Danio rerio: one gene and its partner. The protein of the gene in region 1 purifies or fractionates together with the protein of each later gene. This does not show direct contact. Links are inferred from orthologs where the notes say so. Each region holds a gene or a part of one and is shown in the gene's direction. Other genes may lie near its edges.

Region 1 (3,925 bases):
CTGGAAATCTATTATGTATGATGTCATTAGCATAATGATGATACAAGAAATGCTTGTTTTACTAATTAAAATTGCTTATTTCTCTGGATCTGGTCTTCAAAATATTTGGGATATTGTAAGTATGTACGTCAGTAAATATATATATATATATATATATATATATATATATATATATATATATATATATATATATAATTTAACGTTAATACAAAAATCTTACATATTGTGCCTTTAATTAACAGCAAATTTTTGTTTAAGCCAAACTATTCCTCAAGTTTTGCCCAAGCTTGCATTAGCCGCACATTTAAATGTATATTTCACAGACAAAATAATAATAACAGAAATCCTGCCATTAAATGCAAAGTGATAAACCTGCACGACTTTCCTCCTCCACAAAAAACACAAAAGTGTGTTGTTAACAAGACCATAAAGAACTGACACTCTCACAGCCTCAGTCACCATTCACATTCATTAAGCATTTTTGCATACAATGAAAGTGAATGGAGACTCACTCATTCTGGTTAGCATCTGCTTTTGTATTGCAAAGCAGCAGGTTTATAAGGGTGAATGTTTTATATATATTTACTGTGCATTCAAGTAACGTTAGATTCAGATGAATCGTGCATATTGGTTGACTAAAACAATGTTGAGACATCAGCGGTGCATTTAAACGCTATTTAAAACGCATGCATGCTTATATTAGCACACTCACTGGGACTTCCTAAAATCCGGGAATGTTTTGGGAAATACTTGAGGAGCCCAAACAACACTGAGCTAAACACATACTAACGTTAGCTAGGTCGCTACAACTAACGGTCTGTAAAGTCAACGGTTTAATCTGAGGTAAATAAACAACACTCTTATCCTGAAAATCGCGCAATCCTCGATATACAAGACAACCCCGCGAAGAGGCAAGCCCCAGTTCCTCCCCACCCCCCAAAAAACGTGTAGAGATGCGTTAAAACGTCAACATTTCGTCGACTGCTTACCATTTTATTCGAGTCCATGGTTCAAGCGGGGTTATGGAAGTGAAGGTGAACACCGGCTCCCTGCTCGGGGATCAAAAACAGACTGTGAATCCGCCGAAGGAGGCGGAGGAGAGAGCTGGAGCGGCCCGTTAACTCAACATGTGTCCGGGTCAGTATCGAATAGTCTCTCTCTCTCCCTTTCTCCTTTTCTTTCCCGTTCCGTTCTCTTATTTCCCCCGCGCGCGCCCGAGATCCGATTGGCAGATGGCGAGACTCACAAGAAGCCTCTAGAAAAGCAGAGCGTGTCATAAACGTTTTATAAAGTGTTCAGACGCCAGACTAAATGCTCTCTGACAGGTACCGAGCACAAAACACAGATTGTAACGCTTAGAGGAGGAGTTCTTCTTGGGTTGATGTCATTTGCCAAGCTTTTGACTTAAAAGGAGAACGATTCTGTCAAAGGTTGCACCAGTAAAAACAAACGCAAGTAGAAATGTTTGGGTGATGCAATGTTTTTAGCACACAGTGAGACTAAAATAAGGTTTAAATGCTTGTAATGCTCTAAAACTTTACTGTAGTTATGCAAAAGCAAAACACACTCATAATGCATGACAATCTGATTTATAGATGTATAGAGTCATATATATCTGTAAATTAACCATTTTTCATACTATTATTTTTAAATGCATGCCTTTGAATTGCATTATAAAGTCTTGATCTTTCTTTTAAAACTTGTGATGTTGATAAGTTAAAAAAAGACTTCTAAAAAGATTTTTAATTATTTAAAGTCATATACTGCCTGGGTTGGTGTTGTAAATTGTACACAAACCTGGTAATAAATAACCAGAACTTTGTTATTTTAAGGACTTTATTTTCTATATATTATTTGTAATCGAATGTGTTGTTTAAAGCTACTAAAATGTCTATAAAAGTCACTGTGTTAAACTGCAGACTTGATTTTCAACATCATAAAGTAAACAGAGCAGATTAAAGTTTAATTATGCAATTTCATAAAGAAATAAATGAATTATTGTATATTTGTTTTACAATGCATTTATGTAGGTGGATTATAAATATGCAGAATGCAAGAGCTGATTGATTTTTTTATTTTATTTTATTTTAATTGAATTAACGTTTATAGAAAAGAAGAAATGTACAATATAAATCAGGAAGTAATCTGTAAGAAACTGAAATACAAGTACCTACAATTACAAAGTGATGAGAACAACAAGTTACAAATAAGAAATAGAAAAATATTTAAAACAAAATAAAGAAAAGGGAAGTACAAAATTAAATAAGCACAGAAAGCATCTAGCAACTACTCACTGGAAGCATGATATTTTCATACGTTTCTATTAACTTGCTGAATTTTTTGTTCTTAGATAAACGTATAGCTTTAAGCAAGAAATCGATTTCAATTTAACAAATGGGCAAATGAGGGGGGATTTAAGAAATTTTTGCTTGAGGACAAAGATTTTCGCATATAATAAAAAAAAAAGTTATATATTCTTAATTTTTTTTTTTTATTAAAATAAAAACAAATATTATCTTTCAATTTAAAGTTTTGCTTTGTTAATTGTAATTTATTAAAATATTTATATAAATCTGACCAAAACTTTTGTGAGATTTTACATGTAAAAAGTCAAAGTTTCCTCACTTTCCTGACAGAAAGAACAAATCTATGCAATATCAGTAAATTTTGACACAAATGCATTGACCCGGTATATTTTGTGTAGAATTGTAAAATGAATTTCCTTTGCTTTAAGAGCTGATTGATTACATTCCAGTTTGAATACTTTCTTGCACGAGATCACGTGTGTGATGTTGGTCAATAGCGCCCTCGCCTGGTTGTTTTAAAAGCTCAGGAGAATGAGCTGCTATGTTGTATTTAATCCAACAGCTGCTCATGTGTAACAGCAGAGCTAAATAAAGATTATTTTAATGATGGATATAAAAATGTGAGAGTATATGGAACATTTTACCAGAAACCTACATTATCTGTCCTTGAATAAAAATATAAATACACTGAATAAAAAGTATTTAATGCCGAAAAATGTCTAAAATGGACTGATGGTTTATTTCTGTGAGCTGTCCTGTAAAGGAATATGTCATTCATTTGGTTCACAGATTTTTTTTCTTTATTAAAACACTTTACAGATGTACAAACCCTCTTATTGTCCTCAGCCTAATTGGACCTACAACTTTAATCGTTTTGTTATGCTAAAAACTGTTATTTAGGGGGAAAAAACTTTAGAAATAGCACGTTTTAAATGTTATCATTCACATCAATTGATCAAAAATCTAAAATTATAAATAAATTCTACAAATAAATACTATTTTACAATTGTCCCCATGTTTCTGTCAGGCCTGTCACATTTGCATTAATTTTAACAAAAAATGTGTGCAATAGATCTTTTTATTTATTTTTATTTTTTATTCAAGAATGAAAACCGCAACCACAGTCAGGAGATCAATATAAGCGAGATACACAAGAAGGTTACAAGCTACATTAGCTGCAGAAAGAAAAAAAAAAGACTAACAAAACAACGAAAGGGGTAAGTAAATTACAATTGTACAAAAGTGTATGAAAATAAATTAATTATGAGCCTTACAGGAAAGCTATCTAGCTAAAAATAGAAACAATAGACAAGTTCTTCATGCAGTACCAATAATCTGACATTTTTTGTTGTTACATATACAGAAAGATTTGTGCAGTGAGTCCACTTCAATTAGAAAATGTCTAAAAGTAGAGATTGAAGACATGCATTTTGTTTCTATATAAAAAATTCCAACCAAGATAAAAAATGTTGAAGATAAATTCTTTACATTTAAGTGCAGAATCTGAGTAAAAACAAATAATTTAATTTAAACTAAACGATGCAAAGGAAGAAGGAGTGTTTAAATAATGATACAGGTCGAACCAAAATTTCGGAACAAATTGCATGCAATAGACCTTT
Region 2 (3,935 bases), on another chromosome or scaffold:
AATATATGAATTATTTGAATATAAAAATAATTTGCTGACAATATATATATATATATATATATATATATATATATATATATATATATATATATATATATATATATTACATAGTTTATATTCCCTTTAAAAGAAAGAAATGTTTCATGAAATAAGCCTGATTTTCAATCACAGAAAATCCTCAATGTTATTCTGACAAGTTGTCCTTTTACAAATAAATGAATATACTAGAGTACAGATTAACAAGTTTACATTGTGGGGATTAAATGTCAGTACACTACACAGTATTTTATATATTTTTCTTCTGGATAATGTTTCATTTCTTTTAGTTTAGCTGGAAATAATACAGTTGTTAATAAAAACAAATATTTTTAAAAGGTCTAAATTATTAGCCCCATTGAGAAAATACTCAAACCATTGTTGTCAAATAACTTCCCTAATTAACATAACTTAATTAACAGGGTTAAGCCATTAAATTGCAGTTTAGTATCTAGTAAATGGTCAGATATGACGTTTTGTCATCATGGCAATAGCAAAATAAATTATTTATAAAAACTATTATGTTAAAATGTGAAAAAAGTTAGACAGCTCTTATGGGAAATATTTGAAAAAGAATTATAAAAATATTATGCATGATGTATACACTTCTTAAATTGTCATTCTTCTTATATTCTACATTTATATTTATTTATATATACATATTTTACAGTTTATATTTACTCTAAAAGAAATGAATATTTCGTGAAATAAGCCTGATTTCCAAGCCCAGAAAATCCTCAATGTTATTCTGAGTCCTTTTACAAATAAATAACTATACTTATAGGATGACACACCACCAGATTAAGTAGTCTACAGGGATCAAATGCCAGCATTCAAACTGTTGCTAACTAACCTATAACAAAAAATAAGCACATGCAAATGTCTATCACGATAAAAGGAAGGTGTGTATGTGTGTTTGAACCAATGACTGGTTTGAACCACTTGCCCTGGTGTGACCGGATTCAAAGTCCCCTGCCTCACCCCCTTAACGTATACGTAAACTACAAACATTGCAAATTCGTATTATGTTCATATAATAAATAATAATGAATGAAGTTAAATATACGTGAACATAAACTGCGCATACCAAACAAAAGTACTGAATGTTAAACGCATCCAGTCACCAACGGAAAACACCAGAAAGTGTCGCGTTCTTTGCGCACGCGCACTGCACTGCCGTAAATCGAAACCGTAGCAGCACATTCACATCCAGAGGCCACAAACATGTTCAGCCGAGCAGTAATGTAGTCGGCCAACAAGTAGCTGGATCAGCGCTATCCGCGAGCACTACACAAAGAAAAGGCTTCCAGTCCGGGGTTATGCGGCGTTCATGCTTGGATCGATGTCGTCATGCTGTATTTTAGCCTGGTTGTGAGCTGATAATTGTGTTTTGTTTCGCGGCGAGTGTTATGTGTTGACTGTAAAGAGGACAGTGCGTCACCGTTCAAGATGGACACTGCCGAAGAAGGTAAGCTGTCTAGACACGGAGGCTTTCAGGCTGCTGTCTGTTTGCTCGTTTTTGCTTTTTAAATGTTTCTTGACTGAAGTTTATTTGTCGTTATGTTTTGATTTGGACGCTACGATCAACAAAACCAGCATCTGTAATTGATCTGGCCTTTGCAAGCTAACAAGCTAATGTTTTCCTGCCAGCTTGGTCTTTAGTACAGCTGTCATAACCTAACGTTACACCTAGCACGTCCGAATAAAGACACTCATTTGCGTTGGAACTTCATTTTGAATTCATGAGATGCCATTTATATTTTCTAAATCACATTATTCTTGTTAGCTTAACTGTAACGTTAGCCGTTGTAATGTGAAGCGGATGTTTGTGATAATCTGGCCAGGTTTAAACGCACCTGAAATACGATAGCATAAATGTAATATATAAGATCAGTGATATCACTTATACCACGTTTGAAACACTGCCTGCAATGACATCTCATTGATTTTTGACATGTGAAAGTTGTAGTTGTTTCAGATGTTATCCATTATAATCCAGTTAAGAGTTTTGCTATTATTTTAGCAAGAGTTCTAAGATAAGCCAGATATGGACTGACGAGAAATCAAGCTATACTCCTGCATGCATTAAAACCTTTTGATTGTATATTAGTATATACTGAATATGATATTAACATATATTAAGTATCAGAAAGCATAATCAAGTCTATTTTTTGTTGTTGGGGTAATTTCAATCCTTTTTATCCTCATTTATTTTGATGCATTCTACATACTTTTGTTAAAAATGTTTTTTTTTTTGTGCATGTTTTCTGGCAGCTGATATATGTAGGGTGTGTCGATCTGAGGGAACCCAAGACAAACCCCTCTACCATCCCTGTGTGTGTACTGGAAGTATTAAGTTCATCCACCAAGAATGGTAAGAGCTTAGTTTATTGTCAAATTCACTGTTATTATAATCTGTTTTTTGGGGTGGTCAAACAGTATGAAATGACTGTCAACATGCTAGAGTTTGTTGTTGTTAAACTCAGGAACAGGATATTTAAGTCATAAACAACACATGGCTTTTGCCTAAAGGCACTTTATTATTATTTTATTGTGGTGGTTGCTATAAAAATTTAGATGAATGTAATTTGAGCAGTTATCAATGCTGAATGTCCTGCAGTGATGATAATTCTAGGTGTCCTGGAATTGCCAAAATGCATTAAAATAATAGCCGTTGCAAAAAAAAGGGATTGCTAGCCTTAAAAAAAAAAATAAAATAAAATAAAAATTTGAGTAAGATCTTATGGTCACAAATGACTTGCTGTGCTCTAGCAAGTCAACAAGGCCTAAGCATAACTAAGTTGATTTGGTGAAAATCTTGGTGAATTCAAAAGATATTTTAGCTTTTCAAGTCAAGTCAAGTCATTTTAATGAAAAACAGTGAAAACGGTAATGTTGTGGATTATTTTTACAGTTTAAATTAAATTGCAATGTGCTGGCAAATTATCCTTCAGTAAGTAGTCTAATATACAGATTTTTCTGCTCAAGTAATATTTGTTATCAAATGCCTATGTTGAAAATTGGTGTGTTGCCTTATAGGTTTTTCACGATTATAAACAAAAAGGTTAGAAGAGCAGCATTTTTTTTAAATCTAAACCCTATACATGAATAAAAGTGTTTTTAAAGGGATAGTTTACCCAAACATTAAATTAATTTACTCAAATGGGTACAATGTTAGATTAACAAACATTGACACAAACAAGTTAAATACACAAGGTCGTGGTAGTCTGTTCATATTGTTGATCTAACTTTTGTATTTGAACTGACAGCTATTAAATATTCTTTATCAAGTATTATATATTCTTTATCAGACAAACTTTATAGACCCAGAAAACTTTTGTAGAAAGTGTTTTATCAATTTAAATAATCTTTTCTAACATTTTAGTTTTTTTACCTAAGCATTCGATCGACTTTGATTTTATTACACATGTACATCATGTTATGTTGATAGTGTATTGTCCTAGTAAAAGTCATTAAAGGCCATCCAAAATGTTGCATCCTCCTTAAACATTAAAAATCCATGTTAATTTTTTTAGTAAATAATTTTTATTGAAACTTGTGGACCAATGCTTTGATATAAAAACTATATACGCAAAAAAAAATTATATATATATATATATATATATATATATATATATATATATATATATATATATATATATATATATATATATATATATATATATATACACACACATTTATATATACACAAATATATATACATTTCACGCGAAGAAATAAATTTCACTATTTGGAAAGAATTCATAAAATTTACATTCAATAAGATGAATTGTAGGAAATCGATAAAATATAATCAATCAATCAATCACAAGCATTGATTAATATAAAAGAACAAAGATTCAAATAAAATAAATCAAAATTTATGGTTGTCTGGGAGT

What was found.
Region 2: the proteins of plin2 (region 1) and marchf6 purify together in Homo sapiens (affinity purification with western blotting; 3 studies listed by BioGRID). This does not show direct contact. The link is inferred for Danio rerio from reciprocal best matches to the Homo sapiens genes PLIN2 and MARCHF6.

The regions. Positions count from the first base shown.
Region 1 is NC_133190.1:19,439,920-19,443,844, forward strand, and holds the start of plin2 (perilipin-2), read left to right. Parts: upstream 1-987; 5' UTR 988-989; coding exon of another isoform or gene 990-1,007; 5' UTR 1,008-1,137; exon of another isoform or gene 1,138-1,150; intron 1,151-3,410; 5' UTR 3,411-3,523; intron 3,524-3,925. UniProt on the Homo sapiens protein: Structural component of lipid droplets, which is required for the formation and maintenance of lipid storage droplets.
Region 2 is NC_133177.1:33,448,366-33,452,300, forward strand, and holds the start of marchf6 (E3 ubiquitin-protein ligase MARCHF6), read left to right. Parts: upstream 1-1,273; 5' UTR 1,274-1,485; coding exon 1,486-1,504; intron 1,505-2,310; coding exon 2,311-2,410; intron 2,411-3,935. UniProt on the Homo sapiens protein: Endoplasmic reticulum membrane-associated E3 ubiquitin ligase that plays a critical role in mitigating endoplasmic reticulum stress, the regulation of cholesterol and lipid homeostasis, and ferroptosis.